Schizosaccharomyces pombe: one gene and its partners. The protein of the gene in region 1 interacts with the protein of each later gene in a biochemical or structural test. Each region holds a gene or a part of one and is shown in the gene's direction. Other genes may lie near its edges.

Region 1 (4,057 bases):
ATGAAATGACCAAACTATCAGAAGAAATCACTACTGTCAAAAATTTGCATGTTACAGCCTATGTAGGTGATTCAGAATCGAAGGATGTAGCTTTACTCTATAATGTTTGTGAAGGAGCTAGTGATCGGAGTTTTGGAATCCATGTTGCTAAACTTGCGCACTTCCCTCCCAAGATTATTGAAATGGCAAGCAACAAAGCCGCAGAATTAGAAGCTGAAGACTCTGGAGCCCAAGGGGATACTCAAGAAGTGAAATCTAAAAAAGAAGGTATGGCAATTGTACGTGATATAATGAGACAATGGCGTAGCAACGTCAAACCAGAAATGACTCAGCAACAAATGATGGACCAATTTCAAAAAGTCATCGGCTCATTCGCACAGCAAATCAATTCCAACAACTGGCTACAATCCAGGGTATCCACAAATGAGGTTTCCTCATGAAGAATGTGAGCAAGGTACTAATTGAAAGAATTCAACCAAGGTACATGTTTTTTGGAAGCGCATTTTATGAATAAAATAATTTTTTACTAAAACGAGGAAAAGCCATAGATCAATGAATTTTATAACCCAAAACTGTTTCATTTGCCATAATAACCAAATAAAAAGATATAAATGGGAAACGAACCACTAGTTTTCCAATTAATCACAGCTTGCACAACCATTACAACCTATTTTCATTAGCAACTGGTAGCAATAGCACTTCTTTACTTACCACAATGAGTACATCTCACACGTTGATCTTTATCAAGTTTTGATTTAGGTACACGACATATACACGTTGAACCAAATTTTGACTCAGCGGTTTGAATACAGCGCAGACAACAAAGTTTCTCGTATCCTGGTTTTTTCCATTTGGCGATTAAATTTCCATCGGCATAATTTTGTTTTAGCAGCCAGTTGTAAAGTTCGGTAGATATGGCTTCCCGTTTGTAGTATAAATCGTATATATAACGACTGCGCTGATGATGAAGTTGAAAAATCGGTGCTAGCATTTCCGTCTTAGTTCCCTTTCCCATTGTATTCTCAATTTGACGCATACGATCTTGGAATTCAATAAGGGTGGGTTCTATTTCATCAAATCCGTCAGGAGGGCTATAGCTAATTAGAATCTTACTTCGTAGGTAAAAATAAAGGTAACAAGGAAAATACTTGGTATACATACCGCTTGGTTCTTGACGTTCGAAGACGAGGCATGATAACAGAATATTTTTTAAGCAAACTACGACTTTTCTTCAATAAACCAACACAGAATAAGGAATGCTTGCTTTAAAGAGATTAAATATAAAGAAACCGATAAAATGAAATCTAGTGATGGGTAGTTTTTATCCTTTTACTTATTTGGTGGTAGTGTACTTATGGGCAAGTTGGATTTGTGAGAATCCAGTGTAAATTCCTTGTAAAATAGACTGCCGCGATTGAAACTGTTGCAAGATATTCTTAACTATAGAAACTAAGTTTTTTCTCCGTTAATTAAATTATAGCCTCTTCAATTGAGGATAATTGAGAATTTTTGAATTTGTGTCTCCACTATATTTTATACCTTAACATATGGCCAAAAGGGAACCAGATGCATTTGTATACTATAATACTACAATACTGTTTTCATGGTATAACATTGACGCTCTGTTGTGTTGACTACTAATCATATATTAAAGTTGATTATCGATGGATATTAGCGAGAATTTTGTCTATTGAATACTAGGCTCGATAATGAGAAAGCGGCAATTAAACCTTCCCTAACCTCCACATGGAGTTCACGGATGTGTTTTATAATTTAGAGAATGAAAAGCAATTTTTGGCGGGTATGCAATTTATTCATAATTGTAAACTTGAATGTGCCTGGGATTCATTATCCTGGCTAAATAGTATTCCCGTTGACGCTAACATTTGGTGACAGAAATTGACGAACTTTTAACTATACCATACGAAAAAAATGAACTGGAAATTGGTGTTTCAAAGTTTCTTTCTTTTATCAACAAATATGGAGGTAATGTTTTGGAGAATTGGGGAAGCACAATTTTCCGTGTTTTTCCTATGGATGAAATACAAAGAAATTGAGTGTTTGTCTCTTTATAGAACATCTTATCTAACAAAATAAATTCAATAGAACCGTACCTAATTACAGAATTCCAATTGCAGAGATGTATGGAAAAGTTCCTCAATAGTCCGCTTTATCAACTAGACGAAAACGCCGTTTTAAGTATTTTCTATGATTGCTTTTTTTTCTTGAAAGAACAACAAACTTTGAAATTCATAATCATTGTCTTTCAATCCGAAATTCAAGAGAATGAGTACTGCTTGCGTTTGTTGGCTTCTACGGGGTTCATTCCCGTCTTGATCAAGGCAATGAAACAGTTCAAGGATCGTTCAGAAAATGTTGCTTTTACATCTTTTCGTTATGCTTTATTCTTAGTGTACTATATTTGTCGCTCGAGACGACTTTCACCGACCGACTTAGTCGCAATTGATGAATATTTTTTAGTAAACCTATTCAAAACGTCGGAAGAAGCTTGGAATGATGAGGACATGGACAGTTTTGGAATGTGCGTCTTGACATTGCTTAGCATCAATGAACAGTTTATGCTTGTTCGGCTTGCTTCCAAAGGTTCGTTTGAAATCGCAAATGGCATAATGGATTTGCTGAGCTCTTCCAAAGTGGATAACGGTATCTACAGTGAAGGCCTAGTTTTCACTCTAAATCGAGAAAAGGATCCACGCTCTCGAATGTTAATACTAAAACAACTATTCCTTCTTTTTACAACTCCCGCTACGTATGAGATATTCTATACCAATGATCTCAATGTCCTAATTGATATATTCATACGCGAAATAAACAATATTCCCGATGAGCTTTCGGATCTTCGGTATGCATATTTGCAAGTTTTGATTCCTTTGCTTGAAAATACACAGGTGCGCCATCCACCTCATTACAAAACTAAGTGTATAGTCGACGCGGTCAATAATGTCTTAATTTCTCACTCAAAAAGCAGCAACATGGAAGATGCACGTACTACAGATGTTGCCATACGTGTTTTAGAAGTACCGTGGCTTCAACAAGAGATGAAGTCATTAGGAACCGCTCAATAATTTTTATTCTACTACTGAAAAACTTTTTATTTTTTTAAAGCACCTCACTCGTTTCCTTCATTTATTGTCAGATCAACCAAAAAGAATTGCAAATTTTAACCAATCTCCTTTCCACTCTTTTTTTTAATACTTTCTCTCTCCTTTTGCCAGTCTGTTGTTTTTTGAAAAGCCAGTTTTGGCGTATTACTTCTTGCAGAAAATTGATAAAACTTGGAGAAATTTCTTTGGAATGCAAAGAAAATGCTAAAAGTTTAAACACTGCAATTTTCATATCAATGAATAGAAAATCTCTAGTTAGACATATCCATTGCAAAAGAAGAAGTGAAGAAAATTTTTAAATAACAAACGTGAAGAATGGCATAAACTAATATAGGAATGCTTAATTAATAATACCCCTATCAATCATCTAACATTTTCTGTAACTTTCGGTGATCGTAAATGTGCAAGTTAGACAACGTAATTTAGATTCATCGTCGTCTTTGAAAAAATAGGTGATTATTCGTAAACACAAAACTTTCTTTTGAAAGGGTTCAGTTAAAAATTTCACCATCAAAAATGAAAGAACAGAGTAAACAGAGGAAGGGCAGGAAAAAAAAAATACCGCTTTGTTTGATTTGCCAAAGTTGAAGATGAGTAATAAGTACTTAAGCATAAAAATGAAAACATATTAGGATGGGGGAAACCTAGATGCAATGAGATTGTATGAGAGTATTCAGGAACAGCTAATTCAACTTTTTTGCGCCTTGAGCCTCGAGTTTTTTGATAGCTTCTTGTTGCTGATGCTGTTGAACTCGAAACTTTAGAAAGTAATTGACCTAATCCAGAAAAACAATGTTAGTGAGAAAGAAAAAAAGAAGTAATGGAGATCTTTAAGGTAATAATTCAAGAGAATTGCAAAATCGGAATTTCTCGTTTCATTTCATACCAGCCAGATTTCATTTACAATTTTGGCGATTCATACCCAAGATTTT
Region 2 (4,336 bases), on another chromosome or scaffold:
TCCCAAAAAAACTCAGAATTAGTTTCTGATTTATACTTAAAAGATCTATGGTCTTGGATTCACTTAAGCCATAGACAATCAGAAGAATCACTGTTTGGAGACACAGGAGATACAGATTTCAGCTATCAAGGTGCACTAGGTATTTGGTTTATGGATACTGAATTGACTAGCATGTCCGATGTTTTTGAAGCAAAAGAAAGCAAATTTTTAGAAAAAAAAATTTTAAGACTTGCTAGAGATGTTATTGAGAGACTTGATTTAGATATATTTACGTCTATCCAAACTAAAAGGCCTTTACGCCAACTCGCTTTACTTGCCTGTGGATTAGGAATGTCAAATGATGACTTGTTGTTGGAAATTAGAAGACTGATTCGCAAGAATGAGCATGTAAAAGCCGCTGGGTTAGCACTTTTCCACGGAAAAATTGAAAACGTAGTCCGTATATTATCAAGTGGGAATGAGCTGGAGAAGACCATATCCACAGCAGTTGCCGGATACATTACATCGCAAGGCTTAAGTAACTTTGGAAGTGACTCATTGTGGAAAGAAATGTCTCGTAACTTAAGTACAGAATTGGAAGATCCATACTTACGTGCAATATTTGCGTATGTTTCCAACTCCGATTGGAGAGATGTATTAGATGAAGTTTCTCTCTCATTAAAAGATCGTCTTGGAATTGCTCTTCGCTTTTTACCAGATGACGATTTGAGTAATTATTTGTGCGATTTATGTCACACTACAGTGCAATCAGGCGACCCAGAAGGCCTGTTACTTACAGGTTTAACTCCTTTGGGAATGGAACTTCTGCAGAACTACATTGATCATACAAGCGATGTTCAAACTGCTGCATTGATTGCTGCATTTGTGGTACCTAAGAAATTTCTGGATAAACGTGCAGAGGATTGGACTGAAAGTTATAGAGAGCTTCTAAACCGCTGGAAACTTTACCGTGAGCGTGCAAAGTTTGATATCTTTCGGACAGAACTCTCAAAAAATCACACAGGAGAAATAACCAGAAAGGCTACAGAGCCATCTATACGCATTATCTGCAATTTTTGTAGAAAACCAATTTTTCCTTTCTCCAATAGGAATGAATGTAATAATTTACCAACGCCAATTCAACGAGGTGTCAGTAAAGCAGGCCCAGCAAAACACTTGGGAAAAAGTTGTCCTCATTGCGGACAGCCTCTTCCAAAGTGCTCTGTATGTGGGTTTTCTTTAGGAGATGAAGATGTTCCTCAGAAAGATGACTTTTCTCAAAAACCTCAAAACTATGTCAAAGAAGTTAATCTTCAGAAATCTAGATTTGGGTTATGGTTTAGCTTTTGTCTAAATTGTGGCCATGGAGCTCACGCATCTCATGCTTCAGAATGGTTTTCAACTCATACAATATGTCCGGTTCCTAACTGTGATTGTGAATGCAAACTGAAATAGAAATTGCAAATGAGAGCATTAATTAATAGCATTAAAATAACAGTTTATGGTTTGGTTCACAAGTAATAATTGCTACATGAGTGAATATAAAATCCATGATTACAGCTTAAAAATGTTTAAGGCTAAGAGGTTTAAAGCATAAGGTCTTTAATACTATGATTTGTTTAAAAATTCGACATAGCTATCTACATTTGTAATTGTTTGATAATACCAACGTGGTTAGTTTTATTACTGAAAAGGGATTAACGCAAGATCGTTAATATTTAATTTTCTAGTAGCAAGAAGCGTCTTCTAGCTTAGCAACTTGGTAATTTTAACCGGTGGTACTGGTATTGAAGAAATACATATTTAATTTTTTGTGTAAATTAATTTGGCCTTAGTAAAGATATCCAAAGTGGGTTGTATACGGGCATTCGCATTTAACGTAATCGGCTCATCTCGTAAATTACCATATGTTTCCCGTTAACCCACGTAATTCGACATCGGTGACCGTTGCGAGACGATATTAAGAGTTTCAACTGGAACCAACTTCTCTTTCGCTTACCTTTTCATAAAATAATAGCAATGGCTTCGTTTAATGTTCCCATTATAATGGACAAGTAAGTATTGATGTAGCGAAGTTAAATTGTTCGTGAATATCAGTTACTAACTTTATTTGTTAGCGGTACCGGCTATAGCAAGCTTGGGTATGTGTAATAGTCGTTTTAGGATGTTATTATCTCTCTTTTGAGCATTTATTAACAGTAATTTAATTTCAGCTATGCTGGGAACGATGCTCCTTCTTATGTATTCCCCACTGTTATTGCGACGCGTTCTGCGGGTGCTTCTTCAGGGCCGGCTGTTTCATCAAAGCCTTCTTACATGGCCTCGAAAGGCAGTGGGCATCTCTCAAGCAAAAGGGCAACTGAGGACTTGGACTTTTTTATTGGAAACGATGCATTGAAAAAGGCGTCTGCTGGATATTCTTTGGACTATCCTATCCGTCATGGACAAATAGAAAATTGGGACCATATGGAGCGTTTTTGGCAACAGTCTCTCTTTAAATATTTACGTTGTGAACCAGAGGACCATTATTTTCTTTTGACCGAACCTCCTTTGAATCCACCTGAAAACCGTGAAAATACTGCAGAGATTATGTTTGAGTCGTTCAACTGTGCAGGACTCTACATTGCTGTTCAAGCGGTTTTGGCTCTTGCCGCCTCTTGGACATCTTCAAAAGTTACTGATCGTTCGTTGACCGGTACTGTTGTTGACTCTGGTGATGGCGTTACTCATATTATTCCTGTTGTATGTATAAAAAATCTAATACGAGCTTAGATAAACAGTTTTGAACATTAAATGCATATATATATGCCCGAATTTTACTAACTGATAAACCTTAGGCCGAAGGATATGTTATCGGCTCTTCCATTAAGACAATGCCACTTGCTGGTCGTGATGTTACGTACTTTGTTCAATCCTTATTACGTGACCGCAATGAACCTGATTCAAGTCTCAAAACTGCTGAAAGAATTAAAGAGGAATGTTGCTACGTTTGTCCGGACATTGTTAAGGAGTTTAGTAGATTTGATCGTGAGCCCGACCGTTATTTAAAATATGCATCTGAATCAATTACTGGACACTCTACTACTATTGATGTAGGATTTGAACGCTTCCTCGCACCTGAAATATTTTTTAATCCTGAGATTGCTTCTTCCGATTTTTTGACCCCTCTTCCGGAACTTGTGGACAACGTCGTACAGAGCTCACCCATTGACGTTCGTAAAGGCCTTTATAAAAACATTGTCCTTTCTGGTGGTAGTACTTTGTTTAAGAACTTTGGCAACCGCTTACAAAGAGATCTCAAGCGGATTGTTGACGAGCGTATTCACCGCAGTGAAATGCTCTCCGGTGCTAAAAGTGGTGGTGTAGACGTTAATGTTATCTCCCATAAACGTCAACGAAATGCGGTTTGGTTTGGCGGCAGTTTACTAGCACAAACGGTATGTCATTATCTTATGTTTGTATATTTTTTAGTTTACCCGTAGAGATTTACTGACATGTTTAGCCTGAATTCGGATCCTATTGCCATACCAAAGCAGATTACGAAGAATATGGTGCTTCCATTGCTCGTAGGTACCAAATTTTTGGAAATTCTCTTTAATGAAATATATCATGAGTTTTGCGTCTATAGGATTTACTGATTAAAATGAAAAGTTTAATGGAGCAGGCATTAGCCTTAGAAGAAATAGACTTGAGGTTTGCTATGTTTCCAGGCTTTTTCATTGAGCAATATCAAATAAGATGTATATAATTAACTTGTCCAAATAATAATGATGAGAACCATGAGAATAATAATATAGTGATTACTAATAACGTAAAAGGAGAAAAAAAAAGAAAACGGATGAAACCGATGGGTTCCGCCTGATAAATACTTTATTATTCAAGAACGATGGATAAAATGGAAAGTGTACAAGTACTCAACGAATTTGTTGAGAGAAAGCAGAAGCAATCAAGTAGTCATCATAAAAAAAACTAAACTTCATCATTTTGCGGAGCAGGTAATGATTCATAAGAAGGTGGGCGTTCAATTGCACCGGCAACAGATGGAACGTCGCCGACAAATTCACCATTTTCATCAAATATTGCGGGCGGGGGAGGTGTGCTTGTGGTGGGTAAAGTTTTCAAGTACTGCTGGTTAAGAGCAGTAATAGGTTCATAAAGAGGGAGGCAATCAGTCTGTCGAACATGATGTTCGAATTGTTGTGATGCTCCGGAAGAAGAGCGCTCTCTCCTGTGAATTGAGTGTTGTGTTCTCTGCTGTTCCCGTGCAGAAATTATGGTTCGACACGCTTTAATTCTTTCATGATGCAACATAAATATGACAAACACAACGCAGATTATCCCAAACGTTAATACCAAC
Region 3 (4,057 bases), on another chromosome or scaffold:
TAACATGTGTCAACAGATTCAGTATCTGTTATGGTTAACTCCACTTAGCAGCAAGACCATTGTTGGATACTCTTGGCCCTACTTTATTGCTAAAATACTTTTTGCTTTTAGCATTATTTTTCACAGTGGTGTTTTTTCATACAAACTCTTTCGTGCCATATTAATACGGAAAAAAATTGGGCAATTTCCATTTGGTCCGATGCAGTGTATTTTAGTTATTAGCTGCCAATGTCTTATTGTTCCAGCTACCTTTACTATAATAGATAGTTTTATCCATACGTATGATGGCTTTAGCTCTATGACTCAATGTCTGCTAATCATTTCTCTTCCTCTTTCGAGTTTATGGGCGTCTAGTACAGCTCTGAAATTGCAAAGCATGAAAACTTCATCTGCGCAAGGAGAAACCACCGAGGTTTCGATTAGAGTTGATAGAACGTTTGATATCAAACATACTCCCAGTGACGATTATTCGATTTCTGATGAATCTGAAACTAAAAAGTGGACGTAACTTACGCCTGAATGTATCTTTTTTGATAATTCCTAATACTGGCTCAATAACAGTCCCAAATAACATAGACGGTTTTTTTACGATAGGCTTGTAATCATAATTTGCTCAGAGGGAAGTTTTCTAATGGTTTTTTTTTTTTCGCTTCATGAACAATTGTTTACTATAAACATCAATGAAATTATATGATTATAATAACTTATTATCATGAAAACTTCAAGTCGTACTTCACAAACACTTATTAAAACAATAGTGAATGAACTGCCTTCGTAATCTATAATGAACTATAATGTTTTGAGTCTCCAAGTGCTTACCTTACGAACTTTTTTTTTTATTTAAAGCTTCTTGTACCGTAGAAGCCATATCATTCATCGAAGAAGCTAATTCCTTTCTAAGCATCGTTTGCTTTTGTACTTTGGCCGATTGCATTAGCAGTTCTTCCAGACGTGATTTAAACGTTTCCACTATATACACGTAAGTATTGAGCTATTAAATAAAAATTATAACCAACCTGCTGACAATAAAATGTATTTATCCTCCATTTATTTTTATCAAATATTGTATCGAAATGTTTTAGCTGCGAAACGTTACACTCCTTAATTTAGTAATAGCAATATAATAAGGATCTTTAAACCGATATGTGTTATTCTCAAATTGCATTGCTCCACTTATTTCAGTAAACAGATGACAAATATTCAATAATGGTATATGTCGATAATTATAATTCTTTTGTTTAAGTCTTGTATTCAATTTAATGCACACATCTAGTTACTAGAGAAATAAATTCTTTATTAAATCGGTTCCGCGATTCTTCATTTTTGCACAGCGCTCCTAGTCATACCAATCTCATAATAAACGATCGAAGTGTTACCTGCACATTAAACAAACAAATAGAGTCCGTGTTTTTCTTTTAAATAATAGTAATACTATGTGAAACGAAGAATCTTTTAACTAATAAGCGATAATATACATTACTGCCGAACAATTATAAATGCACAGTTATGGCTTTGAGTATAAGGGGTAACGATACTAATGCTAAGTACAATAGAAGATAAGATCATTAACCGTAAAAACCTTTGAGCTATTCTTTTTGCAGCCAATTGTTAAATTAATTTAGATACTTCATTTCTGTTTTATAATTCTCAAGATTACTGCACTTCGCTTTCCTACGATATTACATATTTACGATATATCACCGAATGCTCTGCTACAGTTGCAGTGCTGCTGTGTCATACGGTATATGGCAGATAGTTACCGCCGGTACATTACATAGGGGTGGACTTAAGAACTAACCTTTCACCAACTACACGAGACGTTTATAAAATGGAGTCTGCTCCCATTGTTCTAGATAATGGAACTGGTTTTGTGAAGGTAATCAGTTTAATTAAATCTTTGTTTACACTGTGACTAACGTTAGCAAGGTCGGATATGCTAAAGACAATTTTCCGCGCTTTCAATTCCCATCCATCGTAGGAAGGCCCATTTTACGTGCTGAAGAGAAAACAGGAAATGTTCAAATTAAAGATGTTATGGTCGGTGATGAAGCTGAGGCGGTGAGATCTTTACTTCAAGTAAAATATCCCATGGAAAATGGCATTATCCGTGATTTTGAAGAGATGAATCAACTTTGGGATTACACTTTCTTTGAAAAACTAAAAATTGATCCGAGGGGTAGGAAAATTTTGTTGACCGAGCCCCCTATGAATCCTGTTGCTAACCGCGAAAAAATGTGTGAGACAATGTTTGAACGGTATGGTTTTGGTGGTGTTTATGTCGCCATTCAGGCCGTTCTCTCTTTATACGCACAGGGATTAAGCAGTGGTGTAGTTGTTGATTCTGGTGACGGTGTAACCCATATTGTGCCTGTCTATGAAAGTGTTGTTTTAAATCATTTAGTTGGTCGCCTTGACGTTGCCGGTAGGGATGCTACCCGCTATTTGATTAGCTTACTTCTTCGTAAGGGTTATGCTTTCAATCGTACAGCAGACTTTGAAACTGTTCGCGAGATGAAAGAAAAACTTTGTTACGTTAGTTATGATTTGGAATTGGACCATAAGCTTAGCGAAGAAACTACCGTTTTAATGCGTAATTACACCCTTCCTGATGGAAGAGTTATTAAAGTTGGTTCTGAGCGTTATGAATGTCCAGAATGTCTATTTCAACCTCATCTGGTTGGTAGTGAACAACCAGGTTTGAGTGAATTTATTTTTGACACTATCCAAGCAGCTGATGTGGACATTCGCAAGTATTTGTATCGCGCCATTGTTCTCTCAGGTGGTAGCAGTATGTATGCCGGTCTTCCTTCACGTCTTGAAAAGGAAATAAAACAGTTATGGTTTGAGCGTGTTCTTCATGGAGATCCCGCACGTTTGCCTAACTTTAAGGTTAAGATTGAAGACGCTCCTCGTCGCCGTCATGCCGTGTTTATCGGCGGCGCCGTATTGGCAGATATCATGGCTCAAAACGATCACATGTGGGTGTCCAAGGCAGAATGGGAGGAGTATGGAGTACGTGCACTAGACAAATTGGGTCCTAGAACTACTTAGAGTATATTTATGTTTAATGTTCTGTTTCTTTCTTTTTATGTGCTAGTAAATTGAGTTATACGAAGTTTGATTCATAAATTTCAAACTTTGCTAAATGATTACGTTTTCTGTTTAATCCGACCATCGTTAAAAGACGGTACGATTCCTTCTTTTATTTGCCTTTTTGATTCCTTTTTCTTTTGATGGGCTATTTACTTATGCTTGATGTTTATACAACCTTTTTGTAACCAACGATCTTATTTACTCAATATGCACTAGTACACTTCAATAGCAACAGACTTAATGACTAGACTCCCGTGACGTATATATTTGGTTTCGCCCATTTAGGGCGTTTTCTTATTAGGTCCTAGTTTTAACAAAAATAGCTTGACATTCTGAGCTTCTAGTTTTCTGAAGATTGACATCCACGGAAAACATGAGTAACATTTAAAAGCAGGAATTTCTATTATTGTAAATAAATAAATTACCGACCTAATTTTTTTGTTAAATTGTATATATAAACCATTAATAATGTGTCCAAGACAGCCTAGAAAAATTAATGCTCTTAATTAAGCACGACAGCATAAGAGGAGTAGAAATTGCCGCACAAATCGACTGAAATTTCTCATAACGGTGTAAGAGGAATTCATTAGGAAACAAAACGACGGAACATTGAAACAACCTTAAATAAATAAGAACAAATATAAAAGTGTAGTTTACGAAGACAAAATGCCTCGTGAAACCGACAGATGAAAAACAACGTGAAACCGAAAATATGTGAATAAAAAATGAACAACATAGAACAACAGTAATGAAAATGAAAATATAAAAACAAAGAACAAAAGCAAAGAATAAAAAAGGAGAAACGACTGGAGTAAATAAGAGAAGAATCCAGAAGAAGTAATTTAAAGTTGCTTCCATTGTTCAATTATTCGAAGAGCTGTTTGAAGTTCCTCAGCTACAGCAACAACATTTTTCCGCTGGAACGCCTGCATCCACTGTCGTTCATAATAAGCATCTTCCACGT

Evidence for each region. The genes of interacting proteins can lie anywhere in the genome.
Region 2: the proteins of dip1 (region 1) and arp3 form a complex in vitro, tested with the Schizosaccharomyces pombe proteins (2 studies listed by BioGRID).
Region 3: the proteins of dip1 (region 1) and arp2 form a complex in vitro, tested with the Schizosaccharomyces pombe proteins (one study listed by BioGRID).

The regions. Positions count from the first base shown.
Region 1 is NC_003423.3:2,340,840-2,344,896, reverse strand, and holds dip1 (endocytosis protein Dip1), read left to right. Parts: upstream 1-1,726; 5' UTR 1,727-1,746; coding exon 1,747-1,801; intron 1,802-1,896; coding exon 1,897-1,986; intron 1,987-2,106; coding exon 2,107-3,086; 3' UTR 3,087-3,495; downstream 3,496-4,057. Other genes in the region: msh2 (DNA mismatch repair protein), read left to right, coding at 1-440; cwf14 (G10 protein), read right to left, coding at 639-667, 712-1,091, 1,162-1,193; coa6 (cytochrome c oxidase subunit VIb related protein), read right to left, coding at 3,809-3,901, 4,048-4,057.
Region 2 is NC_003424.3:348,479-352,814, forward strand, and holds arp3 (ARP2/3 actin-organizing complex actin-related protein subunit Arp3), read left to right. Parts: upstream 1-1,954; 5' UTR 1,955-1,998; coding exon 1,999-2,033; exon of another isoform or gene 2,034-2,096; coding exon 2,097-2,120; exon of another isoform or gene 2,121-2,192; coding exon 2,193-2,721; exon of another isoform or gene 2,722-2,816; coding exon 2,817-3,416; exon of another isoform or gene 3,417-3,481; coding exon 3,482-3,577; 3' UTR 3,578-3,818; downstream 3,819-4,336. Other genes in the region: GATOR2-SEACAT complex ubiquitin-protein ligase E3 subunit Sea4, read left to right, coding at 1-1,434; SPOM_SPAC630.04C (uncharacterized protein), read right to left, coding at 3,949-4,336. UniProt on the Schizosaccharomyces pombe protein: Functions as ATP-binding component of the Arp2/3 complex which is involved in regulation of actin polymerization and together with an activating nucleation-promoting factor (NPF) mediates the formation of branched actin networks.
Region 3 is NC_003424.3:4,781,227-4,785,283, forward strand, and holds arp2 (ARP2/3 actin-organizing complex actin-related protein subunit Arp2), read left to right. Parts: upstream 1-1,795; 5' UTR 1,796-1,828; coding exon 1,829-1,876; intron 1,877-1,900; exon of another isoform or gene 1,901-1,926; coding exon 1,927-3,051; 3' UTR 3,052-3,539; downstream 3,540-4,057. Other genes in the region: pheromone p-factor receptor Mam2, read left to right, coding at 1-508; protein Fta6, read right to left, coding at 821-969, 1,017-1,047; Golgi 4,6-pyruvylated galactose (PvGal) residue biosynthesis protein Pvg5, read right to left, coding at 3,936-4,057.